Linked DNA regions of Macaca mulatta. The protein of the gene in region 1 binds, or shares a complex with, the protein of each later gene. Links are inferred from orthologs where the notes say so. Each region holds a gene or a part of one and is shown in the gene's direction. Other genes may lie near its edges.

The links. Proteins that work in one complex are often made in the same cells at the same time.
Region 2: CASC3 (region 1) and UPF3B share a complex: the UniProt entries of both Homo sapiens proteins name them as parts of the mRNA splicing-dependent exon junction complex. The link is inferred for Macaca mulatta from reciprocal best matches to the Homo sapiens genes CASC3 and UPF3B.
Region 3: CASC3 (region 1) and MAGOHB share a complex: the UniProt entries of both Homo sapiens proteins name them as parts of the mRNA splicing-dependent exon junction complex. The link is inferred for Macaca mulatta from reciprocal best matches to the Homo sapiens genes CASC3 and MAGOHB.

Annotation. Positions count from the first base shown.
Region 1 is NC_133421.1:64,543,601-64,547,484, forward strand, and holds the end of CASC3 (protein CASC3), read left to right. Parts: intron 1-658; coding exon 659-781; intron 782-931; coding exon 932-955; 3' UTR 956-996; intron 997-1,096; exon of another isoform or gene 1,097-1,770; 3' UTR 1,771-3,383; downstream 3,384-3,884. UniProt on the Homo sapiens protein: Required for pre-mRNA splicing as component of the spliceosome. Core component of the splicing-dependent multiprotein exon junction complex (EJC) deposited at splice junctions on mRNAs.
Region 2 is NC_133426.1:126,336,583-126,340,537, reverse strand, and holds the start of UPF3B (regulator of nonsense transcripts 3B), read left to right. Parts: upstream 1-1,139; 5' UTR 1,140-1,219; coding exon 1,220-1,375; intron 1,376-2,280; coding exon 2,281-2,387; intron 2,388-2,557; coding exon 2,558-2,664; intron 2,665-3,955. UniProt on the Homo sapiens protein: Involved in nonsense-mediated decay (NMD) of mRNAs containing premature stop codons by associating with the nuclear exon junction complex (EJC) and serving as link between the EJC core and NMD machinery.
Region 3 is NC_133416.1:9,993,897-9,998,213, forward strand, and holds the start of MAGOHB (protein mago nashi homolog 2), read left to right. Parts: upstream 1-1,501; 5' UTR 1,502-1,551; coding exon 1,552-1,645; intron 1,646-4,317. UniProt on the Homo sapiens protein: Required for pre-mRNA splicing as component of the spliceosome. Plays a redundant role with MAGOH in the exon junction complex and in the nonsense-mediated decay (NMD) pathway.

The DNA of each region.
Region 1 (3,884 bases):
TTTACTGCAACCTCCACCTCTTGGGTTCAAGCAATTCTCCTGCCTCAGCCTCCCGAGTAGCTGGGATTACAGCGCCTGCCACCACGCCCCGCTAATTTTTGTGTTTCTAGTAGAGACGGGGTTTCACCATGTTGGCCAAGCTGGTCTCAAACTCCTGACCTCAACCGATCCACCTGCCTCAGCCTCCGAAAGTGCTGGGATTACAGGCATGAGCCACCGCACCCAGCGTTCAGTTTCTTTAATGGTGTTTCTTTCCTGTGTTGTGGTACTTCATAGGTGGCAATACCTGCTTTTCACTCTTGCATAAAGAAGCTGTATTCTACTCCTTATCACCCCACCTCTGTCCTGCTTAACTTCCACCACATTGACATAATCAAGTATCTGTAGTGTCGCTACTGAACTCAGCCTTTTCCAATTGTCAGCTGATGTTAAGAATTAGAGAAAGCTGGGCAGTACTTTGAAGAAATAAAAACCAGAGCAAAATAATGACGAATTAAGGCAAAAATGAATAGTCACTTTATTTTGAAGGGTGGGCAGATCAGATATTTTTAAAATTATAAATTCCCCAGTACTCTTGTGGATGAATAATATTTCCTGTTCATCATAGGTTGGATGAATTCATTCCTAACTTTTTCTTCTCCTGGCTTGTGGGGTCCAGGCCCCATCACAGGTATATGGAGGAGTGACCTACTATAACCCCGCCCAGCAGCAGGTGCAACCAAAGCCCTCCCCACCACGGAGGACTCCCCAGCCAGTCACCATCAAGCCCCCTCCACCTGAGGTATGAGAGCTCCTTCCCATACTTAGTGCACATGCTCCGTCAGTGGGCTTTCCTTCTCCCCAGAGGATTTCCCTCATTTTTCTGGGTGTGTTTCTCTGGAAAACAGTCTTTGGTATGACCTGATAACAAATTCCAACTTTATTATTTCAGGTTGTAAGCAGGGGTTCCAGTTAATATGAGTTTCTGAATATTTTAAATCTTAACATCATATAAAAGTAAGTGCACAACTTACTGTGAATATTCTTAAAACTAATGCTTACACTTGCTTAACAAACAAAAATCACTAATTAATGCTTTTTTTTTTTTTTTTTTGAGATGGAGTCTCAGTCCGTTACCCAGGCTGGAGTGCAGTGGCACAATCTCAGCTCACTGCAACCTCCATCTCCTGAGTTCAAGCATTGCTCTTGCCTCAGCCTCCTGAGTAGCTAGGATTATAGGCATGCACGACCACACCTGACTAGTTTTTGTATTTTTAGTAGAAATGGGGTTTCACCATATTGGCCAGGCTGATCTTGAACTCCTAACCTCAGGTGATCTTCCTGCCTTGGCCTCCCAAAGTGCTGGACTTACAGGCGTGAGCCACCCCGCCTGGCTTCTAATTAATGCTTTAAATTATAATAATCATGGGATATCTCAGGAGGCTTAAAGGAGTCCTGAAATTTGCCAGTTTGTTTGTGTGGCAAGTGTATGGGGCAGGGTTGAAGTAGAAACGACTGTTACATGACAATTTTCAATTTAGAAGCTACAAGGAAAAAATACAGGAAGGCAGTAAAGGAAAAGGGAAATCTAAATTTGAGATGTTATAGCAGAAAAAACCAGTTCTAAAGATCATAGAGGAGAAAGACTGGGGGTTTTGTTGCTTTTATTTTGTTTAAGGACATTACTTAATACACATTATCTAGAAATGTGGCTTTTTGTAAACAGCTTGTAAATGCCCAGACGGCCCACTAACACTTTGGTGGTTCTTCCCTTTTTCCAACCCCTGTCAGAACGGCAGAGGTGAGAACTCAGGGGAGAAGAGAAATACAGCTGGCTATCTACTACCAGAAGGGCTTCAAAGATATAGGTTATGGCTTCTACCAGCAAACAGCTGAAAGAGGAGGACCCCTGCCTTCCTCTAAGGACAGGCTCTGGAGAGAGGGAGAAACAAGTGGACCTCGTCCCATCTTCACTCTTCACTTGAGTTGGCTGTGTTCGGGGGAGCAGAGCCAGACAGCCCCAAGCTTCTGAGTCTAGATCCAGAAGCCCATGTCTTCTGCTGTTCACTTTCTTCTGGGAAATTGAAGTGTCTTCTGTTCTCAAGGAAGCTCCTTCCTGTTTGTTTTGTTTTCTAAGATGTTCATTTTTAAAGCCTGGCTTCTTATCCTTAATATTATTTTGGTTTTTTCTCTTTGTCTCTGTTTCTTGCTCTCCCTGCCTTTAAATGAAACAAGTCCATTCTTCTGGTTTGCTGGCCCCTCTGGATTCCCTTTTGACTCTTCCCTGCATCCCAGATAATGGAGAATGTATCAGCTAGCCTTCCTCACCAAGGCTAAAAAGACCTGGCCTTTCACTTTTAGTTGGCGTTTGTTATCCTCTTGTATACTTGTATTCCCTTAACTCTAACCCTGTGGAAGCATGGCTGTCTGCACAGAGGGTCCTATTGTGCAGAAAAGCTCAGAATAGGTGGGTAGGAGTCCTTCTCTTTGACTTAGGTTTTTAGGAGTCTGAGCATCCATCAGTACCTGTACTATGGTGGACTTCTGTTCTCTGCTGAGGGCAAATACCCTACTGTGGGGAGAGATGGCAAACCAGATGCTTTTGTGAGAAAGGGATGGTGGAGTGAGAGCCTTTGCCCTTAGGGGTGTGTATTCACATAGTCCTCGGGGCGCAGTCTTTTGAGGTAAGTGGAATTAGAGGGCCTTGCTTCTCTTCTTTCCATTCTTCTTGCTACACTCCCTTTCCAGTTGCTGTGGACCAATGCATCTCTTTAAAGGCAAATATCATCCAGCAAGCAGTCTACCCCATCCTTTGCAATTGCTCTTCTCCACGTCTTCTCTGCTACAAGTGTTTTAGATGTTACTACCTTATTTTCCCCGAATTCTACTTTTGTCCTTGCAAACAGAAGATACTACACCTGGGCTTAAGGCCTAAGGAAGCCAGTCACCTTCTGGGCAAGGGCTCCTATCTTTCCTTGCTATCCATGGCACTAAACCACTTCTCTGCTGCCTCTGCGGAAGAGATTCCTATTACTGCAGTACTTCTGTCCGCCAGGGGTAACTTGGCCACTGTCCCTGTCCTTCTACAGAACCTGAGGGCGAAGATGGTGGCTGTGTCTCTCCCCGGTAATGTCACTGTCTGTTTTTATTCCTTCCCTCTAGCAGCTGGCCTAACCACTCGAGTCACAGGTGTGGCGTGGAGAGGGGGAAGGGGCATTTAATCTGTAACCCCCAAGGAGGAAATAACTAAGAGATTCTTCCAGGGGTAGCTGGTGGTTGTGCCTTTTGTAGGCTGTTCCCTTTGCCTTAAACCTGAAGATGTCTCCTCAAGCCTGTGGGCAGCATGCCCAGATTCCCAGACCTTAAGACACTGTGAGAGTTGTCTCTGTTGGTCCACTGTGTTTAGTTGCAAGGATTTTTCCATGTGTGGTGGTGTTTTTTGTTACTGTTTTAAAGGGTGCCCATTTGTGATCAGCATTGTGACTTGGAGATAATAAAATTTAGACTGTAAACTTGGCTCTCTTGCCAATGTTTTGCATGAGTCTTGATTTGGGAGGGAGGGAAGAGGACTCCCTAATTCCCCCACAGGGTCACGGTCACAACTCAGGTCAGCCCAGACTTGTGAAACAGAAGCCCAGAGAGATGAGGAGCCCCTTTGAGGCCATAAATGTGTCTGCACTCCCCATCAGTTATCTTTTTTAACCACATAGATTACCAGGATATCATGCCATCCCTTAGATTGGAAGTGTCAGGGACAGAGAAGCAGAGAGATGCTGCTTATTCACATGAGCATCTAGTATTCTTTATGGCTTCCTTTGTGTTTGGCAAGTAAGTTTCCCAAGGTAATATGCCATCAGATGTCAGTATAACTATACCAAGTCCTGGGCTGGGGGAAGTATTGGTAT
Region 2 (3,955 bases), on another chromosome or scaffold:
ATGATCCTTTTGTAAAATAAGGTGATGAAAACAAATCTCGTATATTTTGGTCATATTACTCCTTTTTTTTTTTTTTTTTTGAGACGGAGTCTCGCTCTGTCACCCGAGCTGGAGTGCAGTGGCCGGATCTCAGCTCACTGCAAGCTCCGCCTCCCGGGTTTACGCCATTCTCCTGCCTCAGCCTCCCAAGTAGCTGGGACTACAGGTGCCCGCCACCTCGCCCGGCTAGTTTTTTGTATTTTTTAGTAGAGACGGGGTTTCACCGTGTTAGCCAGGATGGTCTCGATCTCCTGACCTCGTGATCCGCCCGTCTCGGCCTCCCAAAGTGCTGGGATTACAGGCTTGAGCCACCGCGCCCGGCCCATATTACTCCTTTAAATATCAGTATCTTGTGTTTATTTATTATTATCCTTCTTTTTTAGATACAGGGTCTCGCTCTGTCGCCCAAGCTGGAGTGCAGTGGCGCGATCATGGCTCACTGCAGCCTCGAATTCCTGGGCTCAAGATCCTCCCTTCTCAGCCTTCCCTAGCAGCTGGGAATACAGGCGCGCGCCACTGAACTCGGCTAATATTGTAGTGTTTACTAAGTATCTGTAAATCCTAATCAATATAAGGAAAATAAATTTTTTTAAATGTTAGGCTCTTTCTTTGAGTTGTAGGAAAATAAATTCTAAAGCCTCTGAATTCAAAGACAAAATATACAAGTCGCTCCCCTAGTGAGGCAAAATTTGGACGGCATTGAGTTTATCCGATGGAAACTAAGCGTGCAGAACGTATCTTTCGACCTGAAAAACTCTGAAGATGAAAGGATTCGATTTACTTACAAACAGGGACCCTGAGATACCTCTGGCTCCTGAACGCCCAACAAAAGCGGGCAGCTGCTTTGCATGCCGGGACTTGTAGTCCCCGACAGAGTCACTTCAAGATGGCGGAGTTGCTAATGACGCGCGAAGGGGCGGGCCCAGAGGGAGTCTGCGCCGCGAGGGGATTGGGTGACACAGGAACTTGGCGGGCGGGAAGTAAAAACCAGGTGTTAAAACCTTTGCACTGGGAAAGGCCCAAGTCTCGCGAGAGCTTGGCAGGCCCCAGTGGAACGTGGGGCCCGACTTATCATAAGGGGCATTTGTTGGGGGCGGAGCTTTGACGGGAGCTTCCCTGGAGCCGTTGGTGCCCGGGGTAGCCCCGTTCCGGCCGAGCCGCTTCAGCGGGGGACGTAGCCATGAAGGAAGAGAAGGAGCACAGGCCTAAGGAGAAGCGAGTAACCTTGTTAACCCCCGCCGGGGCCACAGGCAGCGGTGGTGGGACCTCGGGGGACAGCTCCAAGGGGGAAGATAAGCAGGATCGCAACAAGGAGAAGAAAGAAGCGCTGAGCAAGGTGCCCGGTCGGCCGCTGGCCCGGGAGAGGGCGGGACGGGTCCGCAGCGCGGGGAGGATGGCTGGGAATGGGGCCGGCCCCTTTCTCTCTCAGGTTCCCCTTCTTCTCTTCGCCTGAATGGAAGTCGCACCATCCTGGTTTATCCTTTCTCCCGAAATGGGGAGAGCCCCTCCCGGCCAAATCCTGGGTAGGGGTGAGGAAAAGGGGGGACTCCCCAAACGGGAAGGGTTTAGGTCAGAGCTGTGAGGTGATAATGGGAAGAGAGAGCGACGGTATAAAGAATGAGGAACTAAAGGTGTAATTGGGGAGAAATATTAAATACTGAAGGAGACATGAGGGATGGCAATATTATTCATGGAGGCGAGTTGGGGGAGAGTTCAGGGTGATTAATGGTACGGGAGGGTAGATCGAGAGCATACTATTTTGAGAGCAATGGGTGGATTTTTTGTATTCGTTAGAGTTTTGAATTCTTAAGTTCAATGGGCAAGGATTTTGTTTTAAGATGTGTTGGACGTGGGAGAAACTTGTTACTAAATCAAGATTTCGTGGCACCCACAAAGACCAGGGTTGGCTTACTAATTTCTTGCCACTAGATCTGTTAAAAAATGGGTGATCGAAAATGATGCACAAACCTGGTAAACTGCAGGGCTGCTGTAAAGAGCAAAACCTGAGATTTTTCCCTGCTCCAGGTGGTTCTCATTTCCAAGCGTTTTTTTTTTTTTTTTAACCGCGTTACTATTATCTTTGACTACTTCTGAGCATTGGGCTGCAGAATATTTTCTCCTGGGTTTTTACAAGTGATCTCATATTTTAAAAAGCCCAGTCTTCTTCAGGAACTGTGATTCTTTCAGGTATGAGAGAAAATTGATTTTTACTAATTTTATTTTCCTTATGCATTTCTTAAGGTGGTAATTCGAAGATTACCTCCCACTTTGACCAAGGAGCAGCTTCAGGAACATCTTCAACCTATGCCTGAGCATGATTATTTTGAGTTTTTTTCTAATGATACGAGGTAAAAAAAAAAAAAAAAAAAAAGGAAAGGGGTAAATGAAAAAGGTTTCTTTCACTCTTTTTATCCTACTGTTTTCCATTTAATTTTTGAGCTTGTCTTTAATATATGCATACTTGTAATTGGGCCAGACACCTGCAAATACATTTACATAATTGCTTTCCTCTCTGCAGTTTGTATCCTCATATGTATGCCAGAGCATACATCAACTTTAAAAACCAAGAGGACATTATTTTGTTCAGGGATCGCTTTGATGGTTATGTATTCCTTGACAATAAAGGTGAGTTCTGGTAACTGAAATAAAAAGGGAATTTCTTTGTCATTCTTTGTCATTTGTATGTTTAAGACAGTGTGTGCATTGCGTTGCTTCCTGGGTGATAAAATGTGCAACATTTAAGTAAAGAGTTTTACACATTTGATAAGCTTGTTGCAGTCTTATAAATAGACATGTGACTTTTCACAGTCCTTGGTTACTTTTATTAACTTACTATTTTTTTAATTTGATCAACTGAGTGAAATTGCAACTGTTTTCTCCTCGTGTGACAAATTTTTTGCCCTGGCTTAAACCTGCTGTTTTGACTATAGAGTTTCAGCTGCAGTACTGATAAGTGACTCTTAAACTTGTTTGATAAATTTTAAATATTTACTTCTTATTTTGCTTCAAAGACAAACATTTATTTAATTCAAATCCATTAAGCCAACAGTTCCCAGTTGGGATACTGTTGAACATTCTCACAAAGTTGTATATAATTAAAACATGAAACTTGATACATTGGCCGAGCACGGTGGCTCACACCTGTAATCCCAGCACTTTGGGAGGCCGAGGCGGGCAGATCACGAGGTCAGGAAATCGAGACCATCCTGGCTAACACAGTGAAACCCCGTCTCTACTAAAAATACAAGAAATTAGCCGGGCATGGTGGCGGGTGCCTGTAGTCCCAGCTACTCGGGAGGCTGAGGCAGGAGAATGGCGTGAACCCAGGAGGCGGAGCTTGCAGTGAGCGGAGATCGCGCCACTGCACTCCAGCCTGGGCGACAGAGCAAGACTCCGTTCCAAAAAAAAAAAAAAAAAAACTTGATACATCTCGGCCCGGTGCGTGGCTCTCGCCTGTAATCCTGTAATCCCAGCACTTTGGGATGCCGAGGCAAGTGGATCACGAGGTCAGGAGATCGAGACCAGCCTGGCCAACATGGTGAAACCCCGTCTCTACTAAAAATACTAAAAAAAATTAGCCGAACGCGGCGCCTGTAATCCCAGCTACTCAGGAGGCTGAGGCAGAAGAATCGCTTGAACCCGGGAGGCAGAGATTGCAGTGAGCCAAGATCACGCCACTGCACTCCAGCCTGGCGACAGAGCCAGACTCTGTCTCAAAAAAAAAAAAAAAAAAAAAAAAAACCTTGATACTTCTCTTACTTTATATCTAGAAAGGTCCAGTCTATAGGCAAGACACATTTCTGCTTTAACACTCTATTATATGCTACCTACAACATTTAGCCAGAGAATGTCTAAGCTGCCATTTGCCACTTTTCTTTTTGGTTTGCAATTATAGGTAAATAGTGTGTCTTCTTGT
Region 3 (4,317 bases), on another chromosome or scaffold:
GGACTACAGGCACACGCCACCACGCCCAGCTAAGTTTTTGGTATTTATAGTAGAGACGGGGTTTCACCATGTTGGCCAGAATGGCACATATATTCTTAATTATAGCAATTGCTCCATTGTGCCGATATTTGCCTTACAAGTTTGCTTTCTTTTCTAGACTACCAGTGCAAATGCCTTTTTATTTCTAGTTTCAAACTGTCACATAGGAAATGTTTGTTAAAACTAACGTTTTATAAAATTTAAAGCTTATTTTACATATCTCATTTGATCTCTCAAGAATTCTGTGAGCTTGGCAATGTAGATTGCTGTATATGCCTTAGGCTGATGAATAAACAGGCTTAGAGAGTCACTTGCCCGAGGTTAGGTAGCTGTAAGTGTTGGGATTGAATCCCAGGTCTTCTCACCACCACTTTCTACAAAAATCACTGAAGGTTGTCAACCAGCAGAGAGGATTACTCTCTGTGTTGATAACAAAAGGGTGATCAATAATATTTAAAAAGCAGACTTTGTGTAAAAGTCTTTCCCTTACCTTAAAAACTATGCCACAATGGAGCATTCTTTCATTCCTCCAATTTAATTATATCTGGCGAGAAACAGTAATGGGCTAAACCATTGTTGTATCTTAAGTCAAATTGCCAAAACTCCACAGGCTACTAAAAGTTAACCCTTACTGAATGAATTAAGAACCATAGAAGTTCTGCTGTTAAAAAACAGCACGGTGACAGTCAGGGTTTTTCAGGCGTAGGGGGTGTGTGTTTTAAGACTTTAAGCCAGTTTTGTCCCACTGAAATCACCGTCAGTGATTTTTAGTAGAAAGTGGTGGTGAGAAGACCTGGGATTCAATCCCAACACTTACAGCTACCTAACCTCGGGCTAGTGACTATCTCTAAGCCTGTTTGTTCTTCAGCCTAAGGCATATACAGCAATCTACATTGCCAAGCTCACAGAATTCTTGAGAGATCAAATGAGATCTCTTAAGTTCTTTGCTGTGATGGATTCCTTTGACTTTGTCTCTATTATTATAGGCTTATAGGTCCGGGGCAACTACCAATCGTTATTCAAAGGGGAAAGCACCCTGTTAGAAATCAAGTAAGAAAAATGGTTTATATTCCCGGTCTGCCATCTCTATTCTAAGCTTTATCTTTATTTAGCTCCCAGTTAAAGGGGGAATAGAGCCACACCCACCTCACAAACGCCCCGAGGACTGGGAGACCAGAAAAGTAAAAGCCACTTGCAAACCTAATTTAGCTCTAAGTCGATAAAAAATACTATCATATGCTCACATTTCTAATATTTGCTAATATAATGTAATCTTTATTTTGAAAATAATGTGCCTCCAATCCTAGTAAAGAGAAAGTCACGGCATGCGACTCTCCCTTCAGCACCAACTGGCCTCTCACGCGAGACTCGGCTTTCATGCTTTAGTCCAGGACTGCACGGCAGGCGGAAGAGAAGCGCCTGTGGTGACGCACTTATTCCGCGCGATGACGTGACTACAAGGCGCCGGGGGACACGTTGGCTGGGTTTTCGGCGGGCTTCTCGGGGACAAAAATGGCTATGGCTAGCGATTTCTACCTGCGCTACTACGTAGGGCACAAGGGCAAGTTTGGGCACGAGTTTCTGGAGTTCGAATTTCGGCCGGACGGTGAGAAGAGGCCCACGGCACGCGGTGCTGGGAAAGGGGAGCGAGACCGAGAGGCCGTGGAGGAGGCGAGGGGAGGCCGGGTGGTGTGGAGGGTACAGGGGGCGGAGGCCACTGCTTCCCTCGAAGGAAATAGGAGCTTAAGAATAGAGGAGGCCTAAGTTGGTTTTATAAATGAAAGAGAACTAATTGCAATAAATTAAAGCTAATCCTGTCGCAAACTGAAAAGTCGAACTTACAGTAATCAGAATTCTGTAACTGCACCAGAAGGGACTCTGTAGATTGTTGACCTGGATTAAAAATGCTAGCACTTTTTTGAAAACACCCCCATCAGCGGGTGGTCCAATGGATGAATAAAATCTTGTGGTGACCAGTACCTTTTCTTCATTCAGGCTGTGTGTGTTCTTTGAAGGGGAGGAGCCCGACGTGTTAACAAATGAGAATAATAATATGTTTTAGGTGTCTACGTATAATTGTTCACCACAGGACGCATGAAGAGTACCAAAAAAGAGGGGAGATGTAAAGTTCCACAGGAGGGAGTCAGGAAAATCTTCCTAGAGGAAGACACTCTTGAGATGAGTCTCGAAATGAGAGACTTGGCCTTTGAGAGAAAAAAACAGACTTCCAGAGCAGTGAGAGCAGAGGACGAGGTGAAACTGCTACCCCAGTAGCGTGCAACAATTTGTTTTCTGACAGCGCTATTAGAGAATGTTACATTGGTCCTGCCTACCTGCAACAAGAAAGTTCATTTGGATATATATGTTTTGGTTTTTTTTAAATGCACGTTTTTTGCTGGGCAACAAGCAAATACAAAATTTGAAGGTACACTAATGAGTAAGACAAATTTAACTCAAAGAGATTTGTCTTGGTGGGGACACAGACATTTAACTATAAAGCAGTAGGTATATTAATAAGCAGGCTTTGGACAATGTTCTGTGAGAGCAAGAATAAAAAATTAGAGGAGAAACGTATATTAGGAAAGGAGAAGAGTATCAAGCATTTCAGGCAGAACTCACGTGAACTACAGTCCTGCAATTATTACTTTGAAACAGAGTCTCACTCTGTCACTCAGATCTGAGTGCAGTGGCACGATCTCAGCTCACTGCAACCTCCGCCTCCCAAGCTCAAGTGATCCTTCACCTCAGCCTCCCGAGGTGCTGGAAATACAGGCCAGTGCCACCTCGCCCATCTCCTTTGTTGTTGTTGTTGTTGTTGTAGAGATGGGTTTCCGCATGTTGCCCAGGCTGTCCTCAAACCCCTAAGGTCAAGAGATTCACCAGCCTCAGCCGCCCGAAGTCCTGGGATTACACGCATGAGCCACCGTGCCAGCCCTGCAATTATTTAGAAACCTTAATCACTGTATTCGACCTTACTCTCCCCATAAATTCAGCTAAATTTACCTGAATTCATCTATTCTTTATGTAGTATTATTTTCAGTTCCTCTGCCTGTGAACACCGTCAAGCTTGTCTCTATTACTTTTAGCAGGTCACATAAATTAAGCACCTGAATATTATCAGGGAAGTTTTATGCTAGAACAGTGGTTCTAATCAATGTATCTGCCACTGCACTGTTACACATACTTCTTCTATTGGTAATATTGAGTCTCCCGAAGACCTGCCTGCCTGCCTGCCTGCCTGCCTTCCTTCCTTCCTTCCTTCCTTCCTTCCTTCCTTCCTTCCTTCCTTCCTTCCTTCCTTCCTTCCTCTTTCTTTCTCTTTCTTTCTTTCTTTCTTTTTCTTTCTTTCCTTCTTTCTTTCTTTCTTTCTTTCTTTCTTTCTTTCTTTCTTTCTTTCTTTCTTTCTCTTTCTTTTTCTTTTTCTTTTCTTTTTTTCTTTCTTTTCTTTCTTTCTTTTTTTTGAGACAGAGTGTTGCTCTGTCACCCAGGCTGCAGTGCAGTGGTGCGATCTCAGCTCACTGCAACCTCTGCCTCCTGGATTGAAGCGGTTCTCCTGCCTCAGCCTCCCGAGAAGCTGGGATTGGAGGCATGTGCCACCATGCCCGGCTACTTTTTCGTATTTTTAGTAGAGATGGGGTTTCTCCATGTTGGCCAGACTGGTCTCGAACTGCTAACCTCAGGTAGTCCACCTGTCTCGGCCTCCCGAAGTGCTGGGATTACAGGCGTGAGCCACTACGCCTGGTGCCAAGCCATCAAAGACTGGCATTTCTATCATTTTAGAGTAACTGCTGCACATTATAGCTGTGTCTGGGCAACTGACTAGCCATAAGGGGAAGCATACATCAGATAATACACAAATCATGATGGATTAAAATTAAATATAAACTAGCTAACAAACTCATCAACTTCGATCCAGAAGCATCGTTTGTATCCTTCTTAGTCATAATTCTAAAATGTCTACAATATAATTGTATGCATACATTTGAAGGAAAAAAAGGAACATTTTTTTGTAGTGGAGAAAGCCTGAGTATTAAAAGAAAGTAGATCTAGGTCTGAATCTCCCATGTTTAAGTTACTTAACTTTGTTTTCTCTCTTATGAATAGGTGAGAGAATAAAACCTGATTTTTAGGATTGTTTTACAGATTAGATTAAATTCTCTGTGTAATGCACTTAACACCAATACATACATATAACAAACTTGAATGTTAGTGCAGATTCTCTTTCTAGTTCATGATGTAGCTTAAGAAAATAGGCCGTAAAAATGACCCTATATCTAT